2 linked regions of the Lonchura striata genome follow. The protein of the gene in region 1 interacts with the protein of each later gene in a pairwise test. Links are inferred from orthologs where the notes say so. Each region holds a gene or a part of one and is shown in the gene's direction. Other genes may lie near its edges.

Region 1 (10,522 bases):
GCAGGGCTCTGCCAGGGGCTCCGTTTCCCTTCCCAAAGGAAGCAGTCTGAATTTACCCAGTGCTCTGTAGAGACCTGTAGGCTAAAACAAATTATTTTTACACAGTAGGAAACATTGAGACCGACCTTAACTGATGAAGCAATTTGCCAGCTTTTAGCCTCAAGGTCCTTAGTCCCTCAGGGCTTTCCAGCGTAAAGACTTGGGTCGGTTTCCCAGAAAGATTCTCTTGGATATGTGCTTTTGGCTCATTACTAGCTGTTTTATTTTTCCAAGAGCCAGCTCTCGTTAGCTTCGTTCTCACAGCATTGTTTTCTTTCTAGAAGAAGCTTTTGCTGGCTCTCCTAAACTATTGCATGGGAATTGCTTACTAGCTTACATTTTTTTTTGTTTGTTTTGACCCAAAGCTGTGCTTTGCTCCCCTCTGTAACACTGCCAGCATAATTTCCAGTCTCTTTTAAGCATATGTTTTGCAATAATATCTAAAGTCTTGGCTCCAAGTAACTGCCTTACAGAGAGATTAGTATCTTCTAACGAAGGAATTGAGAAGCAAATAGTGAGAACAAAAGCAATATCTTGAGAGCCTGTAAGACTATCCTGACCTTTCCCAAAGGCCTCAGCCTGGCCCTCGGTGTTCAGCAGATGGCAGAAATCAGGGTGGACTTTGATTTGTAGAGGCCTCTGCCTCGCCGCTGTGTTTGCGGGAAATGTGCTCAGCACGTTGTGGCCATCTGGGCTTGACTGTACTATTCTGATAATCCCCAGGGAGCCTTCTCCAGCAAAGCTCATCCTTGATGGAAGTCCTTTCTGGCTGACCTTGTAGAAGGCTAGTATTAGCAGTGTGGGTTTTTGACATTTGACAGCAGCACTCCTCATGGGAAGAAAACGGGCTTGGGAAATGCTTTGTCCTGGCCAAGAAGGAAGGTACCACTCACCAGGTATCCACATGGACACACAGTTGGAATTACACTAGAAAGTGAGGAGGCTGGTGTTAATGTTTTCTAAACTTCAAGAGGAAGTGTTACAGGAATGCAAAGGCCATCAGAAAACAACTGGAAAATTGCCTTGCTTTAAATGGGAGAACCAGATGGGGGGAATTGAACCTGGAGCTGAGAGTCTCAAAATTGCAAGGGAGCTTAGTGACTGGCCATCCACAGGGAGACAAGAGTCAGATGAGGGGGTCCTGACAGGAGCTGGAATCTTCATCTGGAGCTAAATGAAGGACTGCTTTTCAGAAGAACTGAGCTGGCTTTGCCAGAAATCAAAAGAATGATTGAGTGCTCAGCATCCCTGGAACTGAGAGGGCAAGACATAAGCTGCTAAATTCAAGAAATAAGGAAAGAACAAACCCAGACCCTCTCCCAGGCTGTGTTCAGAGGCTGTAAATGCTCTGCCTCAGATATTTTGTATTTCAGGTGGGGGGTGTATGGCAGCTTGAGTGGCCAGTCCCACAGGCAGTGCTGTCCTCAGGGAGCAGGATGTCTGCCCTGCCCTTTGCACTGTGCATCTGGCAGTGTGTGCCTGATTTTGCTTTAAATCACACACTCTCTGCTCATGAGCCACCCACGATGGGCTGTTGGACTTATGGCACCCATTCTGCTCCCTCCTGCCTGTCCCTGGCCATTCATAATGACAAATCTCAACCCTTTTCCTGACCTTTTGACTCTTCAGCTGGGCAGTGTGTGGAGCTTGCTCCAGGCTGCTTGTGAATCAAACTCCCAGGAGAGTTTGTGAGATGGTGCCACAGAGGCTCCTCTCCACGTCTGTCCCATGGCAGTTTTGCCCTGTGTTGCCCAGGCTGAAGGGACTCTCCTGCCTCTGGCTCTGCTGGCCAGCCCTGGTCAGCCACACTCTTGAGAAATCTTAGTGGAGATGTCGACCTGGCAGATGGAGGCCATTACCTCATTCCACAAAAATGCTTTGTTATTGAGAAAATGGAAACTGTCTGAGGTTTGGGAGCTGAATAGAGTCATTGGTGTCTGTTTTAACCGCAGTTTAGTGGTGACTGCTCAAAAGTTCCCCTTTCTGAGCATTCCCTTTTCCTACACCCATAATCTTCAAGCCATTGGAGAGCTGTGATGACTTAACTCATTAGCTGAGCAAAAAATGTTGAATGCTGCTGCACGCTCTGCAGAAACTTCACTAAAACCTCAACATCTTCCAGCAAAACAAAAATGATGAGCCAAGAAATAACCCTTTGCAAGCTGTTGGCCAGATAAGTGATCCCTATGGATACTAAGCCAAATTCAACCCTTTTTACAGTTTCAGCTGTGTGTCTTGTTTACTTGACTTTGAAAAGCTCTATGGAGATTATGCAGGAACTTCTTCAAGAAAAAAGACATACTTGGGCACTTAGGTTTGTAATTCTTAAACACGGGTATCTGAACCCCAGTCCTGAAGAGAAATTTCTTTTCATCAATTTTTAAAAGCACATTTTAGCATTGTGGATTTGAGAGCATAGGGGAAAGAATAAAAATAGGGATTGAAGTGTTTGCAAGCTAGTTTTTGTATTGCTGTGAATAATGACTGGGCTTAGTCCAGAAGAGCATTAACCTAAACACAGGCCTTGTTTTACTTAACAGATATTTGTGAAACTGGCATCTGATACCTCTTTTTGAGAACCTTCCATAAGCATTAATCACCAACACCCTAAGAGAACCAAGAACAACAGCTTTTTGGAAATAAAATGAATGCTTTATTTATGTATTTTTAAACTAATTAATCTTGGCATGCCAAATGAATGTCTTCCAGCTGCTACAGATGGTTTTCACATGACTAAATATTTTGGTGTGTAGAAAAACCTAAAATAGTGGAACCACAAGATATTAAGTATTTAATTATTACCCTGGAATGTAAATATGACCTTGATATTTTAAATTTGTTTGCCCAAATTTCAAGTGTTCTCTTAGAAATCCATCAAACAATGCAGTTCTGATTTGTTATCTGTGAAGCAGAGTGACTACTCAGCATCTTCTCCAAATTTATTTAAATATCAGAGTGGGTTTTAGAAGCAGGAATTTGCTTAACTGGAAAAATAATCCCAGCTGCTTGAGGCAGAACCCAGGCTCAAAGTTTGAAATGTAGTGGACTAGTTCTGTCCTAGATCCCTGCTTTCAGGTTTAACCATAAAAATCCTTTCTAGGCTCAGCTCTGCCTCTTAAGGTCTTGAGGGGGTTTTTTAATATAAAATACAAATTGTAAAAACAATTAGCAGTTGATTTTTTGGCCTGTATCTTACCGATTTAGAACACATTCTGGCCATGTGTTGTTCCTGTATCTGTAAAGCAGCCTTATTTCTTGAATGATCCAAGCACACAAGATTTCCTCCATGTGAGTGTATCACAGGTAATTTCTGTCATGGTTCAGGACTGTGTGGTTGCAGATCACACACAACCTGCATGTACACTCAGGCTTCTTGTGAAAAATGTCTTTTTGTAGTTCTTCTAATGAAACAAAATAAAGGGAATAATATAAAATATGTATCTGAAAGGCCTAACCTTCAGCACAGTTGAAGACAGAAATTCCTCTCTGAGGTCCACACCTGATGGCACTGTTCCTGGATATTGCTCAGGATGGGAAGACAACAAAAAATCAATGGGTCCTAAGCTGCCCCTGAGTGCAAGGACTGCATTTGTCACCATCATGAGCCCCAGTACCAGCCTAAACTCCTGATTTCTGCCAGGCTTTTGACCTCACCTTGGAATTCCAGCACCCTCATTTAAGGAAAACTGGCTTTTTCCTTTCTTAAAAACGAACCCATTTGGAACTGGTGCATAACTTCCTGCTGCTGCCCTATCCCAGTTCTGCCTGCCAGCTCAGCTGCTCCCTGCTGAACCCCAAGTTTGAATAGCAAGGGCAACTAGCAGAGGCATGGTGTTGGTTGGGAGATCTGGACTCTGGAACAGCACAGCACTTTGTCTGTCTGCTACAGGGTTGGAAGGCACCTTAAAGACCATGTCCCTCTCTTCCTTCTCCTCCTCCCTTTTCTCTTGCTTCTCCCAGGGTCAGGGTTGTGCAATCTGTAGATGCAGGTCTGTACCCCACGTTGGTGGGTGTCACAGTTTCCACTGACAGGGATATGTGCTGCATCTCAGGAGGAGAAGAAAGATGGGACTTGGGTCTTGGTTCCATTTTTAGTTCTACAGGCCATGCCTAGTGCCAGAACTCTCTGAGGTGCAAATCCCAGGAGGGAGATAGCATTACTCCCTGACCTGTGGGTAATACAAGGGTAAATAATGTTTTTGCTGCTGACAGCTGTTAGGGAATTGAGGAAGCCACAATCCAGTGAGAGGTGTGGGGTGTCAGCTCTGGAAACTGAGGACTTTTTTGCATTAATGATCTTGCACTGGATCATCACATTTGTGTTACTGGCAGTAGAGAATCGGGGAGCTAAACTGCTTCACAGGTAAATCTTTAGTTTGTTTCCTTAAATTTGGATTATTTATGCTCATCTGCCTCTTGGCACATGGACATTTTCAAAAAGAAAGGGCATCATCTAAATCTAAAGGCATTTCAGTGGCTCCCTTTAACTCAGTGAACAGTTGACATTAAGAAAACTGCTGAGTGCCTAACTCAGAACATTCTGGAATACATAGACTGGTAGTGGTACTCACCAAGAGTCATTAAAAGCAAAAAGTGCACAGCGTGTTTTGCATCTATCTCAGCCAAGAAAAGTTTTATTTCTGCTATTTCTCAACCCTAAGCAAACACCATATAACTCACAGAAAGATTAAATCTGGCCCGGTGTGCATGTGTAGAAGTGTTGGATGTGTTGCTTTTGGAGAGCCCAGAGCTGAGTGTGGGAAATCATAACTGCACGTCAGGTTGGTGAAGGTGCACGGACTGTGTTGTGCTTCCTGCTGTGTGAAACAGTAATAACTACAGCATGATTAAATAATGCTTTCAGGTCCTTGATAGCTTTGAGTTTTAATTTTGGAATATGTAGAGCAGAACTTTGAATAAGAATGGAAGAGGGCAATGTAGAAACCTTGAATAATTATTAGATCAGGCTGTGTGAGCCACACTGACCCTTTCAAGTGACAATCCAGGTTCTGCTGCTCTCTGCTGCTCACCTTGTTAGCACCTGACTTGGTAAGTCAGGCTGATAATGATGATGAGTTTTTCACTTTATGTTAGGAGTTTTGCTTCTTCTCTTCTCTTCTCTTTTGTTTTTGTTTTTTTTTTTCCTGTCATCATGATGTTCAGCAATATAAAGGCATTAGAAGTAAAATATGTCTACACAAAACTGGAATCACGTCTCTTGTGAAAATTTAGAGTAACTTTTAATGCAAGTGTCCAATTTCTAGTCACAAGTAATGACATTTAAACCCCTGTAGGAAACACAATCCCTGTGCTGATGTCACCCTTGGTTTATGATGTGAGTGCTTTTGTTGCTGGACAAGCACTTGAGTGTTTGCTGGTGAAGTGATGATTTACTGGTGAGAGTGTCTGGCTGGTGGCACCTGCTGTAGCTGACTGAGGTGAGGGGCTGGAGGAGCACCTTGGCACAGCTGGGTCCCTGCTGCTCCACTGCTTCCAGCAATGCAAGGTAAGCGAATTGGGCTGAGCTTTTATTTCCAGGGTTTGCCAGTTTGGGACAAATGGCTTGTAAATGGAGCACTCTTGTTCTGATCAGCTCCAGAACAGAGGGAAGGGTTGTTGGCATTGCAGTGAAGCCCTTGATCCTTGGGTTGCTTGGGCATGTGAACAGCTTTGGGAACTTTTTCCCAATAGTCAGAGTGCACGTTGCTTCTGCTTCCATCATCATCAGTGAGTGTGGAGCACCTTCCCTGCAGCAAAGAAACAGGCATTGCTTCACATCTGCTGCTTCTAGGGCTGAGACAGCAGCTCTTCTTGTTCTTCAGCTGAAAGTTGCCAAGAGAGGAGCCTGTTAGTGAAAATTCTGTTCTTTCTGATCCTTTTTAACTTCTGAGAGACGTGCTTCATGTAGGTGCCCTTGTAAATCTCAGATGGGAATCAAAGAATGATGTTCTGTAAAGGAGCCACGGACCTGGATCAAGGACTCTTGATATTGTTACTTCTTATCTGTTCATGTTGGATTTTTTTTCTGTAAATAAACAGCTTTTCCTCTCTTTCTGAGATTTTAGGCAGTCCACATTTTTACTGAGCTGCGTGCCAGCAGCAGCTCCAATTCTGAGATTGACATGTCCAGTGGAAACTCCATGTGTAGCTGCATGATATAAAGGCATTCATACACTTTGTGGGCACTTGTGTTCCTTACAATACCTGTTTCCATATAATCTTTTGGACGTGGCACAGTTTTCCCTTTTATGGGTGCCACCAAAGATTATCTCTGCACAGCAGAAACAGGAGCGCATGTTGCATCTTGCAAATTTCCTTTTAGCGCTTGCAAGGAGTTATTTTGTAGAGATGTTATGCAAAATACGTAACAATTGCAACTGATGGCTTCTATTATTTAAATTTTGCAGTACTGAAGAATAATTTTAAAGGTGTCAGTGAGAATGGTTTGAAGAGAACCAGCTCGTGAAAGTAAATGACACGTTCTGGCCAGATTACCTGGCAGAGAAGCCTTCAGTCACAGAAGGGAGCTGAAGGAGCTAAAACTAGTTAGGCCTTATTGAACTGGCCCATGTTATATTCATTTCACTTCTACACTGCCTAGGAGGTGTTCTCTTCCCCTCTCAGCCATCCCATGTGTCCCCTTTGCTCGGCTGTGCTGCCCTTGAGAGCGCTGCCCTGTTTGGGGAGGGCTGCAGCTGGCACACACAGCATCTCCCGGGCAACAAATGATCCCAGTTTTTGTTTGGGAGAACCATCAAGCTGTTCCCAGGGTGGTAACATGAGACAATTTGTCTTTTGCCAGGACTCAGTCCTCCCCCAGATTTAGAAGCTGCTTGCATGCTTCGTGCTGCAGGCCTGGCATTGCCTTTGCTTGCAAGGGACACCAGCAGCTGTAAAAAGCACTTTACAGGGAGTCTGTCCGTGTTCTTGGGCTAAGAGCCAGCACAGGTGGGGAGGCCTCGGGGATCTGTGGCAGAGAGGGAGTGCAAAAGTGTCTCCTGTCACCTTCCTGGCTTTCTCTTCCCTCTGCGGATTTTGGAGAGCCCCAAAAGGCACAAAACTCAGATGCACGTTACCTCTCTCCATCAATAGATCTGTTTATATGCAAGAAACCAACTGCAAATACTTGTGTTTGAGAGGCAAAGAATCAAATCGGAAGAGGGAGTATTTTGACCAAATTTGGTGAAAAAATTCACTTTGCCCTTTAAGTAATAGGCGTGCATTAAATAAAACATGTCTGGGATATGTGCCTTTTTCTGCTACTGGAAGTCAAAGTTGTTTTGTTTATTGAAAAGAAACATGAAGCTGAGCAGAGCCTTAATCAGCAAAAGAGCTTTCAGGCTTGTTGGGGAAACAGAGAATAGGGGACTGGGCTCAAATTGTACAGGTTGGTTTTCAGCACGTGAGCAAAACACACAATCACTAGGGCTGTGTCCAGTGCTTGAGGCAGTCCCTTGATTGCCTTTTTGGGCAAAACAGAGACATGATCTCGTAAGGATCTTTTATTATGGACTGCAAAAAGCTTTGTAAATACTAACTTAAATTATGTATCAACTCAGAAATAATAATGGCTTCATCCTCAATTTAAAAGGAGCTGTCTCTAAGGGAATGAAAAGTGCAAACTACAGTGTAAGGATTCAGTTGTGAGAACTTCAGGGAAATAGAGCGGAATTACATTATATACATGTAATATCTACATTGAGATGCACAGGCCCCAAGAAGTAGCAACTAGAGCAGTCAGATTATTTTTTCTGCATATAGGCTGTGATGTCTGTTTGAGTTGCAAGATTCTTGTGTGCTGAGCTGATCCAAGATGAAGGTACATTGGCCTCAGTGTGCAGTTAGTCATTTCCTGTCACGCTTTCACGTTTGAATTCTGTTGTACTGCATATGACCTTTATTATGTGGGGCAAAGAGATCTTGAAAGCACGATTGCCAGGAATCCTTGGATTGTTAAGTTGGATAAGCAGTGAGGCATTGATATGGCTGTGGGTTACACGGGCATAAACCAATTCAGTCCAAAATTAAACTTTCAATGCTAGATTGAATGCTCACAACATGCTTATTGAGAGTAATTGCACACCTGTCCCTTGCTCCTTTTTAAGAGCTGACAGGAGCAGCCCTTTCCCTGGGCTCCTCCGATCACACCAAAGCTCCTGTGATCAGTCACATTCCCTGAAACTTGGCTTCAGCATCTTTCTTCCTCTTATGGCCACTGTGACCATGTGTGCAGCTGCTGCCCTCAGCCAACCCCTGCCCAGTGGCAGCTGTGCCCGGCTGCAGTGTCCCCTGCTTGTCACTGCACGTGGCAGGAAAGGTACCTGTCACGAGGAGCCTCTCTTTTCTCTGCAGCCTCCTCAGAGACAAGCCACAATCTCTCCTGGCATGGTTTTAAGCCATGGGTTTCTTAACTGCCTGACAGAATGGTCTGTGTTGAGCTAGCCAGAAGTTTCTGGTGTGTTCCTATCTTGCTCCTCTGCTCTCAAGACTTCTTCCATCTGTTGGTCTGTTTGAATGTGATGGGTTCTCCAAAGAGCCCAAATGACTTCAATTCCTGACTTCCTGTTGAGTGCACAGAATTTGCTTGCTTTGTGCTCATTCTGAATAAGATTAACAGTTGATCTCTTGAGCAAACATTCCAATTTAATGTCAGCAGAATGACATAGACTGCCTGCTCTGAGTGTTCCCAAATAGTTTTACTGCTGTTAGCTACACCTCCAAAAGACCAAGATTTTGTTCAGAACCTAAAATAGTTAGTTAACCCCTACAGATGTTTAGTAATAAATATTTAACTCTGAAATCTTGCCCTCTTTTTTTTCCTTGGCAGAGTTCTTATTTTTATGGTTCCATAGTAGGGACTCTTCAGCTCCTTTCTCAGACCCTGGCAGAATTAGCTTTCCTTAAAGAAAATAAGTCCAGAGCAAGGACTGAATTGTCTCTTGTGCCTGTGCTGCTGGTACCTCACAAGCCCAGCACAGCAGTGGTGGCAGCTTGCCCTTGCTCACCTTGGACCAGGTGTGATGTCTCTGTCACAGTTTCCTTCAGGCACCTCTGGGCAGGCTGGGGACTGGAGGCAGGTGTGATTTTCTTACTGATTGTATTCTGTTTAAGAGTACAATCAGACATTTATAGGATAGGTGTGGTTTTGGCACTGTCCTTTATCTATATGCAGAGCTGCCAGGAGGAGTCTGTGATATGGCTTTGTTCTTTGGATGGGGCAACTTAAAGATCCCTTCTGAACAATGGGAAACCCTTATTTTGTCATTCTAAGACTGTATTAAAGTCATGCAACAGTTTAGGTCTTGTGCTTGTCAGATTCTGCTGCTTCAGTTTAACGGATTCTGCTGCTTCTTCCTCACAAAGCATTTGCAGGAAGCTGCTTACCTTGCTGACAGCAAGTTGTTTTATCTGAAATGCAAGGTGTTTCTTTACAGTGCTGCCAGCCGTTTTACTCAATCTCTTGCACAGCCTGGAGCAACCCGGGACAGCTCTGGGCAGGAGGGCGTCCTGCCCGTGCTGGGGGGAAAGGCTGAGGTGCAGCTTGCTCAGCAGAGCTCAGCGTATGCACATGTGTGAGCACAACACCCCAGTGGTGCAGGGAGGCTGTGGCCATACACCCAGCTGATCTGCTTATCTCCTGCCTCTGAGGCTGGCTGTAAGAACCGAACTTTCCCTGTGTGTTGGAGAAATGACCTGCAGCATCCTCTGGTTCTGCTGGTGATGGGGAAGCTGCCGTGTGAGGCCTGTGGCTGTCCTGATGGTCTCTGCAAAGAATCTACTCCTTGCCATGCTGGAGCCCTCCTTCCTACTTAAGATTTCAGAGCTGTCCCAGGGAAGGATGAGGCTGGAGAGCAGCTTGGAGGAGAGCTGAGGGCAGGAAGTGACTCACTGGAGCTTCGAGCAGGCCAGTGAAGGTCTGATGCAACTCTGCTCCCAGGGGAGCCCTGGGACCTCTCCCCAGCTGCCTCAAGCTCTCCTTTGACAGCCCCAGGGATGCACCAGGGTGCATCTGCTCCCAAGGGTGCCCCATGCAGGCTGGGTCACCCTGAGGGAGCGCTGGGACCTCTCCCCAGCTGCCTCAAGCTCTCCTCTGACAGCCCCAGGGATGCAGCAGCTCTGCAGCAGCGCTGGTGGGTTTGGGAGCAGAGAGACAGGGCACAGGGAGGCAGCAGCATGAGTAAGTGTGGAGAAACCCCCACAGCACCCCAGGGAGCTGGCCCCTACCCCCAGGAACCTGTGCCAGCCTGGGGCCAGGGTGCTCAGTGACCCTGTGCAGATCCCCAGAAGCCGTGTCAGGAATGAAAGCACTCCCAGCATAACGGAGGGGCTGGAGCTGCTCCTCAGAGCAAGCAGCTGGTTTGCCTTTTAGGGTCGGCAGCAGGCAGAAACAATTTCATGCAGATTCCAGGACCCATAATGGTTCTGGAAAGCTAGCAGGAACAAAAAGTGTTCTTCTCCTCTGCTGACCTTGGAGTGCTTTGGG
Region 2 (10,666 bases), on another chromosome or scaffold:
AAAACCTATAAAGCATGAGAGCTGGCTTCATTTCTGAAAGGAGTAGGATACCGAGAAATTGCAAATGACAATCAGGCATTTCAGATGGAAACTAGACAGATTCATTACCTTGCCACAGGTGACATTCAGCCCACAGACCTCTATCCTTTGATCTGCCATCAGCCACAGCCTCCTTTTTGTCACATGATTTTCTTGCATTACTTTCTATTATCATTTTTACTATTCATGAAGAGTTGATGGCATACTCCAAGACTAACTGATGTACAGGAGAGTGCATGCACTCTCTTTTTTAATAGATGGGGAGTCTGTTAAGCAGACTGCCTGACAGTTTTTTTACCTGTAGCTCAGCATCTAAACTGACATAAGTCCAAAAACTTCAAAACCCCATGGCATTGTCTCATTGATGACACACACAGCTTGCTTTTCTTCTGCATTTCTCCTCAGCCTCAGCAAGGAAGACAGATTAGTTCCACTCCTGGTGTGATTATGACAGTGATAAGAGTTAGTACATCAGGTAAGACTTAATATACCAGCAGGACATCTATAATGACAGAAGTAGAGCTTCCAAAACAAACTAAAATGACCAGACCTTAAGCCTGGTTGCAGCAGCCCCCTGGATGCTCTGGGAGCTGATTGATAACTGAATTAGCTGTCCATGTTTCAATTAAGCGCCAATGAAACAGGGTGAGGCTGAAGTAGCTCAAGAGAACGACTGGGTTGGGATCAGTGGCCAGTGCAAAGGCCAGAAGCTGAGTCTCCCACTTGCTAAGTACAGGGTGAACATCCAGGTGTGTGACCCTACAGAAAGTTCCGTACCTGTATCACAAGATGGTGCTGCTGCTCAGCCAATGCACAGCTTAAGCCTGTGCTGGCAGCAAAAGAAACCTAATGCTGTGCCAGTGCATTGATTCAAATGTGCACGTGTTTATTTTTCTTAATGTTCTCTGGCAAATGAGTGTTTTAAGGTTACTTAAAGAATCACAGAAAAGTCATAGGCAAAAGCAGGTTTCATATAAAACAGAAAGTGTGATGTAGTTCATTTACAAGGTTCCCTCTACTACTACTTACTACTAATGCTCTGGTAAAAGCACATAGAAAAAGAGCAAACTAAAACCTAAAACCAGTCAATTGAAATCCAAAATCAACTCAAAACTTAACTCTGTGGAGGCTGGGGATAAGGATAGGGAAGGGGTAAGGACAAACAGGAATAAGGAAGACCCACCCATTGCATCACAAGTTTCCGAGTAGACCCCTTTGCTAAACTGAGCCCCAAACTTGAGAGTTTAGGTCTATAGCTTTAACAGCACTTAAGGGCACTTAAGTGACAGGTTAGGTTAAACAATTTATCTAAAGATTCATATAGAATTTACTATAACTCATGGGCCTAACTTACAAACCTGAAGTACTTAAGAATCTAGGAGAGCAGCATTCCTTGTACATATGCTATAGCATATTCACACCCTCATGCACACATACCTAAAGGGTCTGTATAAGACACCCACAGAGTACCTCTGAAAAATTTTCCTCAGACTTGGTGAAGGACACATATCTGATGCCTTTGGATCATCCCAACGGGCAAAGCGTTGAGTCTGGAGAAGTGGGGGTGTAAGTCCAGGCTCCATCATTGTCATTCAGTGATCTTCCAAGTTTAGCAAACTTGAGAGTTCTCTGGCTCTGAGAGGCCCCACACAGAGGGAGGTGCTGGTCACAGTGTCTGCTGTCCAGGAGAGCTCAAAGGGTCTCACTTTGGGCCATTGTTTATAGAGTCACAAGAGAATGGGCTTCAATCATAATAATTTTTCATCCTGATTGCAATATGGGCTAGCATGTTCTTTGAAAGTTTGATAACAAAATTGTTATTCTGCTTGGGTTGTTTTCGAGGCAAGAAAAGTAAGTTTCCAAGGCAGTTCATTAAAAATCAGGAGACTAGTACTAGTTCCTGGGAACAGACTGATTTTGATAAACTCAGGAGGAGCTCAGTCTAGGTGCCCTTTGTGAAGATCAAGGCTAATGAGGATTTCTCAGATCACAATGAGGCCTCAGGAGGAGTGCAGGGGATGCACATCACATGTTCACATATGCCATTGCACATCTCTTTAGTGTAGATGAATTAAAATTAATTACATCCAAATCTTGATCACAGAGAAATTCTTTGAGTTCTTTAATGGACTTTTCTCATGACAAATTCCCCAGGATAACGCCGCTTTGTATCAAGTAGGTTTACTCCAGTAAAAACCTACAACAAGAAGAATCTTTTTATTTCTTTAGTTTTGATTCCCATTTCCCATATATATTTCTTCAACTCAGCTGAGGGACAGATTCTGAACTTTGTTTATTCATGGTTTTGTATTTATTAATCATATACACAGCATTTAACAGAATTTGGTATTCTGCTATCAAAACCATTAGAAGAGCATTAATACATTGTACATGGTATCATATATGGGCTTTGCAATTTGGTCTTGTTCCTACGGTTTGGAGGTATATCTAATTGTACACAAAAGAATACTGAAGTAGAGGTGTTACTGCACAAGCAGCAAAGGATGATCCAGCCACCCACCTTAAGATTCAGCTATGAGGAGAAACAACCACACAAAGGCCCATTTAACTTCCAGGCCTGTTTCCTTTCAGCTCAGAATTGAAAATTCTCCCATGAAGGCAATTTGCTCTTCCTCCTTGCCCAGATCACTCTTGATCACATTGTGAACAAGCCAGCCAAAGAACAGATGCTGGGTGCCAGTTGTCTGTGTGAGGGAGAGACCCAAGAGCCTGTGGCACTTTCCAGTTTCCTGTTTGGGTAATTGAGGGAGTTGCAGAGAAGTACAGCAGGAAAATGTAATTTTCAAGTCCAGACTGCCAGGAGGTGTTAAAACCCAGGGTCCTTTTTGCTGGTCCTTTTGGGGTGACTTTTGCTTGAGGGTCTATTTATGTGCCTAATAAAACTGTGAGGCAAACCAAAGATTTTCTTCTGAGAGCACTCAAGAGATGAGCAGCTGAAGGGAAAGAGCTGTTTGGACATCCATCACTGGGATGTCACAAAGGATGCTGTGGATGCCAGGACTAAGAGACCCAGGAAAAATATGGCGAGTTTGCTGTTGTCCTTGGCTGTGGGCGAGCATCCTGCTGGTGTAAAGCATCTGTGTTCTCATCCTGAATTACTATGGGAAGCAAAACATGAGCATGGAGTGAAGATCCAAAATGACATAAGCACTACTGTGTGTCCCATCTAAGCCAATGTCAAATTAACATTCAAACCTGACACCCACTTGGAGAAGATTAATTTATTGCCAGTTTAAAATAGAGTAGGATACTGGAAAAAAACACATTTCTCTTACCCTCTCCTGCTACCAAAATCATGGATGGGCTCAGCTTTGGCCATGGCAGGTCTGGCTGGAGTTGGCTGTGCTTGACAGAGGGGCAGGTCTTGATATCTCCCCACAGAAACCACTCCTGCAGTCACACAGGTCCAATGTGTAGACTCAATTGAATTGTCTTTCAGGCTGTGCTGCTGGAAGCTCCAGGCTGCTGTGGAGCACAGCTGCTCTCTTCCATTATATGAACAAGAGGGCAGCTACCCACTGTGCAGATCTCACAGATCTCAAAGATCTGGTGTAAATCAAATCTGAGTCAGCAGCTTTGCACTCTACTCCTTTGCTAACAGGTTAACAAAGCAGTGGCTATGAGCATTGTTTCCCAAGAAAAATGTAGATTTTAATTTTAAGACAGTTTTCTCACACTGAACAATTCTCCCTCTCACACACATTCACAGAATTCACAGAATAACTAGGTGGGAAGAGACCTTAAAGATCATTGAGTCCAACCCAATATTAGTCAATGAATATTGTTTTAGAAAACACAGCAGATCTGGCTATTCCAACAGTCATGTCATATTCCAGTGTGGAAGAAGATTGTAGTTTCTTTGGAACAACACTCTTTCTCCTATTTTTCTTCTGAAGAACTGTGGTTTACTGGTTTCTCTTATCAACAACCTTCATTCTGTTTCTCTCCTGGAGGCTTGTCTTCCAAGCAGGAAGACCTGCTTGGTCTTCCAAGACCAAGCACAGAAACTGCATGTGTGGCTTTATATTAAGTCATATGGGAATTAAATTTAAGGGATCATTAACACAGAAGCTTTGTGTCCTATTGTAATTGCTGCACTTAGGCTGTTGCCAATTTCTTCTCACTGCAAAAGTGGATCTCTGAATTGTTTTCTTGGTGTTTTCTTTCAAAGAAAAGAAGGAAACCCAAACTTCTACTGTATCATGTGAGAATAGGTTCTGTGCTATGGGAGCACAGTCAAACACCAGGGAATGGTCTGGGGACACTGTGTAGAAGGCATGGATCCCACACCTGAAATTCTATTTAATACTAATATTCAATTTCCTATCAGCACTGTTCAGCATCTTCAACAGTAACATGGACATTGTGGGATTGAGTGCACCCTCAGCAAATCTGGAGACTATATGAAGCTGAGTAGAGCCATTGACACAGCTGAAGGACTGCGAGTATCATAAAATTCGTAAAACACTGGAAAAGGTTGTCCAGAGAGGCTGTACCCACATCTCTGGGAACATTCATTCAGTTTGCAAAGGGCCCTAAACACTTGCTGGCAATTGAAGGTGTCCTTGCTTATTGCAGGGTGGTAGGTCTAGATGACTTTTAAAGACTTCCTTCAATCCTGACTAGTCTGATTTTATGATTTCCACAATTTTAGGAAGACTAAAACTGTGTAACAAAACAGAGTAACTGTAACTTTATGTGTTGAACTTGTGTTTCAGTTTATGGCTATTGCTCCTTTTCCTGTCCCTGGGCACCAAAGAGTCTGGCACCATCCTTTGGCACCAGCCTTAGAGATACTCATATGCACTAATGAGATTTCCTCTCACAAAGCTGTGGATGACTCATGCTATACTTAGAATTGAATGCACTAATGCTCACTTAACCTAGTGCACAAAATAAGAACAACTGCATGTCAGACTAAGACGCAGTTGTGGGAGACCTTGTTGAGCTTCTTCAGAGAAGACAAGCTGCCTGGAAGGAGATTGCAGCAAGGTCAGGCTCCTCTCCCATGCAACAAAGGACACAGTGAGAGGAAATGGTTTAATTGCCTGGAGAGGTTTTGGCTGCCCAGTAGGAATTTTTTTTCACAGAAAGAGTGACCAGATATTGAAATGGGCTGCCAAGGGAGGTTGTGGAATCATTGTCCCTGGAAGTGTTTAAGGAAAGACTGGACGTGCCATGGGGTGGTTGACATGGTGTCATAGTTTGGACTTGGTGATCTCGGAGGTCTTTTCAACCTAAATGATTCTGTGATTCTGAGCTAAAGGATCATTAAACCCACAGGGTATGGCCTCCCACTCCTAAGGGGAAGGAAGATTCATAAATGCTCATGGTTGAAAGGAACAACAAAAGTTAGAGGGTCAGCAAATAATCAGAAAGTTTTATTAGTAAATTACATACTCAGCATGGAAGCTGGCATTTTCGTCCTTGACCGGCTATGTAAGTACAAGGCAATAGGTTTTAGATAAAGAAGTAGTGTGAAAGGCAAGACAGAGAAGAAGAGGTGAGCTAAAGAGAAGAAGAGAGAAAGAAAAATAAGAGCTCAGTGCTCCTGGTTCCAACACTGATCCAGCTGCAGGGATGTCAGTCCTGGTGTCAGAATCCATCCAGCTGCAGGGATGTCAGTCCTGGTTCCAGCACTGATCCAGCTGCAGGGATGTCAGTCCTGGTGTCAGAATCCATCCAGCTGCAGGGATGTCAGTCCTGGTTCCAGCACTGATCCAGCTGCAGGGATGTCAGTCCTGGTGTCAGAATCCATCCAGCTGCAGGGATGTCAGTCCTGGTTCCAGCACTGATCCAGCTGCAGGGATGTCAGTCCTGGTTCCAGCACTGATCCAGCTGCAGGGATGTCAGTCCTGGTTCCAGACTGATCCAGCTGCAGGGATGTCAGTCCTGGTTCCAGACTGATCCAGCTGCAGGGATGTCAGTCCTGGTGTCAGAATCGACCCAGCTGCATCCATCCAGCCAACAGGATATCCTGTGGGATTGGGGGACACTTTCTGTGGCCTGACTTCCCCGTCCTGAAGTGTTTCTCACTTTCTACTCAATCAGTTATCATGGGCAGTCTGTTCTTTGGGCCTGGTTATGGAAATAAGGCAGAGGGCTTTGGGGATCTTGGGTGCTCTGCGTTCCTCTCCACAACCCATGCCCCACTTTTTGGCCTCCTCCCTGCGCCTGCCGTGTGCAGTGCTGCGCTCATCTCCAGGGCCGATAAGAAGGAGTTTTTCCCCGGAAGAACACGCTGCCCGAGGTCGGCACAGACTCCTCATCGCCGGCTCCTCCTCACGGACTCCCGGAGGGGCCCGGCCGGCCGCGGAGCCGGCGCGCGGACTGCGCAGGCGCGGGGCGGCGGGGCCGCTCCGCCGCGCCGCCAGGGGGCGCCGCACGCCCCGCCCCGGGCCGGGCAAGCGGAGCGCCGCCATTGGCCAGCGGCGCCGGCCCCGCCCGCCGCGGTCACGCGCGCGGCCTCACCGCGGCCGGAAGTGCCGACGGGCGGCGGGGCCGGGCGCGCTGCCGGCGGAGCGGCCCGAGCGCGGCGCCTCCCGCTCCTCTCCCGCTCCCCGCCGGGCTCCCTCAGCCACCCCCGCCATGCACCCGCGCCGCCCCGACGGCTTCGACGGCCTCGGCTACCGTGGGGTCGGCCGCGACGAACTGGGCCCCGGCTCCAGGCCCTTCGGCAGCGGCTCGGAGCCGGGCTCCTGGGTGACCAGCCCGCCCGACATCCCCGGCAGCCGCAACCTGCACTGGGGTGAGAAGACGCCGCCGTACGGGGCTGGGACCCCGCTGGGCGGCGCGGGCCCCAACGAGGAGGCCAACCTCGGGGCGGGCGGCCCCGGTGCCGGTAAGGGAGGGCCCGGCCCGGGCTAGCCCGGGGCCGGCCGGTGCCGCGGAGCCCCGCTGCCGCCGCGGAGCCCCGCTGCCGCCGCGGAGCCCCGCTGCCGCCGCGGAGCCCCGCTGCCGCCGCGGAGCCCCGCTGCCGCCGCGGGCGCTGAGCGCCGGGCGAGGGCGGGCGGGCCTGAGCTGCGCCGCCCGGGCTGCCGGTGCTGAGGCGCAGGGAAGAAGAAGGCGGAGTGCTCTGCTGAACACCCGCTGCCTGTTGCGCTCCAGCGCTGTGCAGCTCCGCTCCAGTGGGGTCCGAGAGTGCCAGAACGCGCCCCGCAGCTTCCCGTTAAGCAGTGTGCAGTCAGCTCGCTCCTCATTGCCCGTGTAGATAATCTCCTGCAGAAACACCCCGCCTTCTTCAAGGGCAGGAAGTGCTTTTGGCTCTTGGAGTGCTGCGTTATTGTGGTGGTGGTGTTGCGGACTGCGTGGCTTCTGTCGGGTTTAAAACATGAGCTGCTGACGTAAACTTTCCCCCTCCACGCGTGATAGCGAGGGAACTGTGGGATTTGTAGGATTTAAGGAAGCAACTGAGTACAAGGCTTTTTCGGTAATTGCTGGAAAATTGAGTGTAAGCCTTCATACATAAAGTCATTTTAGATCTTAACAAAGTTGAGGTGAATTAAGGAAAACTTGCTCTCTCTAGGGTACTGTATGTTGTTTTCTTTAAATAAAAGGAGCAGGTTGTAGACACTTGAGTATCAAAAAATCTCTGAAATAGTAATTTACCTGAAATCGAATTATATTAGTAGGCAAGTCTTTCTTTTCTGAGCTGTAGTGCAGTATCTTTATTTAGGTCTTACAAAGAGTACTGCCTTTAGCTGGACTCCGTCCATGCATGCACTGGTTGAAGCACTATTAAGTATCCTTGCATAGCTGGACACTGCATTTTTTCCGCCGTCTGCATGTGGAAGGTGTGTTCATTCTGCACTTTGGAGCACTGATAAGGAGTTGCTGTAATCACTGAATCCAGCAGCTGCATGTGGTATCTTACCATTTTTAGGAGGGCTGCCACATTTGTGTGGAGCACCACTGAAGTTACTGACTTCATCCATGCCTTCAGACTGCATGCACAATGAAGCTTGTAGGCTAAGCATTGACTTTAAAATGCCTTTACTGTTCTGATGCTCATCTTAAAATCCCTTCTGATAATTCCCAATGTGCAAATGTCTGCTTGCAGGCAACAGAGAGTTGAATTAATTACTTCTGTAATTCTCCAATTTGGAGAATTCAGATTTTTGCAAAGGACTGGAGGTAAACAACTGGCTTGAAAATTTGCTTTGTGTTGATGTTTGTTACTTCATCTGTGGCTTTTTGTGTAACTTCGCACAAGATTTTGCCTTTTATACTGTTTTAACAGTATTTTCACCTCAATTACCTAGATTTATGTTTCAGAATTACTGCAAACTCATGCGTACTAAATCTTTCAGTAATTGGTTTGAATTGGTAAATACTCTCTGTTTTACTGTTCGTTTTCTCTCTTCTTTTTTTGCTGTAAGAAAAGCATAATTTTATATATAAGAGCATGTACAAACTCAAATGCAGTCCAAAGTGCACATGTTCCTAGGGGAATATTTTTTTATATCTTCTGTTGCTCAACTGCCATAAATATTGTAATTTAGTGCTTGTAATTTTTTGATGCAAGTACAGGATAAAACTAGTTTTTCAGATCCCGTGCATGACATTTTCTCTGTTTTGTGATTATCGCTGCCGTATCATCTGGTTTTGTTTCGGATTTTTTTCTTGTTTTTCAGAACAGTTGAACAGATTTGCTGGCTTTGGTATTGGCCTTGCAAGGTAAGAGATGTGTTCAGTGACAAAGGGGTTGTAAAACTCATACTTATAAACCCTACATACACTTCTGTGTTGTGTTTTTATTCCAATAGCCATAAGCAGTTGAAATGTATTTTGAAACCTAATACCCCCCATTTAGGTTTCTGTTTTCTTTAACTGTTGCCAAAAATATATGAATGGAAGAAACAGAATGCCCTGTCCGAGTAATCTAAAATTAACACCAGAAAACTTCTTTGACATGTGCAACTTTTGTTAATATTTCTGGGTGATACAAATGTTTCCTAAGAAAGTGAAAATGTCTTCAAGTATATTACCAAAGTATCCTCAGACCATAATGTTCATCTAATCAAGTGGCCTGAAGGCCAGTTCATTCTTTATGATGATGACCCTGATTATTGATAGTATTTTTGAAAAAGTGATGGATTATAAGATGCTGATGCCCAAGGAAAGTTTTTCCTCTTGGTACAGAGGAACTATTAGATCAATAGTTACAAAACTGCAGTATTTTTCTGTGCCACTTGTTTATTGGGAGTTCAGAAACCTACCACAGATGATTCTGTAGCTTGGGGTGTTTGTAAAAATCCTGGATGTTCTTTTCTAATCCATGTCCCAGGTTTGAACAATATACAGGTAAGTACTCTGATCACTCAGGCATTTTGAGCTGAAATTAATAGTCTATCTGAATGTCTGCAACCAGGAATTCTGCTTTGGAAGTGTGAACTTTCCTGTGAAGTTTTGATTCAAATATGACTTCTGCCAATGGCTGGAGAATTGGTTTGGGTCAGTAGTGTTTTCGGTGAAAAGGTGGTCAGCTACTAGTACCACTCCTCTGCCCTCCTAAGAGGAGTCTTGATTAATAATACAGGATGCAGAATTAACATAAAACTGGGAACTAAACCTCTCATAATTGTAGCTGTGGTTTGTTTTGCACCGTGATACTCTGAGGAGGGCGAAATTAAGAAATTTAGTATATTTTTTGCTTATAAAAATAAGTGCATATTACATATATATGGGGCTTTTTCACAGTAAATGTATATGTCAGATTTTATGTAACTTGTTCCTTGGGAGGCTGTTGGGTAACCATCAAAAACATGGCCTATTAGTTCACTAGAAAATGTGTTGCTTCTCCAAATACTGATCTGCTGCTGTTAGAGACAATTAACAAGTCTTTTCTAAGGAATTTTTGTGCATTAAATACAATTTTCCTTTAAAGCCTATTTACAGAAAATGTGTTGGCACATCCTTGCATTGTTCTACGTCGTCAATGTCAGGTATGTCTTTTATATTACCTATTCCAGTCAAAGCTCCTGTGTACTGCCATACCTCTGTATGAAAGTACATATTATGGGAAACTTTGCAATTTTTAGGAGGTCTCTGGTACATTAACAAATTTTTACTTGTAGAATACTTGTTTTCTGTTCTGCAGTTTATTTTATTTGGAAAAGTCTTGCTCATTTTTGTTTGGGCAGTGGAAAGCAAATTACAGCAAGTGTTTTGGGATCTGCAGAGCAACTTTCACATCCCTGTTTGCAAGCAGGGTGATTTGTTTCATAGGTTCTGATTTATGTATGGTTTCTTTAAACTTTCAGCATATGAATAATTTAAAGGGCTGCCCTTTTTCCTAGATTTCAGTGAGAACTTACTCATATTTGTAGCTGATCTTTACAGATATCAATTCTTTGAAATGCCTTTATACTTCAGAGTTGTAGCATCTACAAGTGTATTTCTAATACTATTTATTTTTTTAACAGGTTAACTATCATGCACGGAATTATCATCTCACACCATTTACTGTTGTCAATATCATGTACTGCATCAATAAGACACAGGTTAGTGTTTGGTGCCAGGCTGTATCTAGGCACTGAGGGTTCCTACAGCATGTATGTACATTGAAATCTCTGATTGTTTATGTAGGTGGTGTTGGAAAGCACGG

What was found. The genes of interacting proteins can lie anywhere in the genome.
Region 2: the proteins of FHL3 (region 1) and SLC25A46 interact in binary tests that used the Homo sapiens proteins (3 or more experiments, as listed by UniProt). The two-hybrid records come from large-scale screens. The link is inferred for Lonchura striata from reciprocal best matches to the Homo sapiens genes FHL3 and SLC25A46.

The regions. Positions count from the first base shown.
Region 1 is NC_134628.1:4,830,367-4,840,888, reverse strand, and holds the start of FHL3 (four and a half LIM domains protein 3), read left to right. Parts: upstream 1-5,414; 5' UTR 5,415-5,538; coding exon 5,539-5,545; intron 5,546-10,522. UniProt on the Homo sapiens protein: Recruited by SOX15 to FOXK1 promoters where it acts as a transcriptional coactivator of FOXK1.
Region 2 is NC_134642.1:79,750,472-79,761,137, forward strand, and holds the start of SLC25A46 (mitochondrial outer membrane protein SLC25A46), read left to right. Parts: upstream 1-6,586; 5' UTR 6,587-6,648; coding exon 6,649-6,901; intron 6,902-8,693; coding exon 8,694-8,736; intron 8,737-9,946; coding exon 9,947-10,004; intron 10,005-10,484; coding exon 10,485-10,562; intron 10,563-10,666. UniProt on the Homo sapiens protein: Transmembrane protein of the mitochondrial outer membrane that controls mitochondrial organization.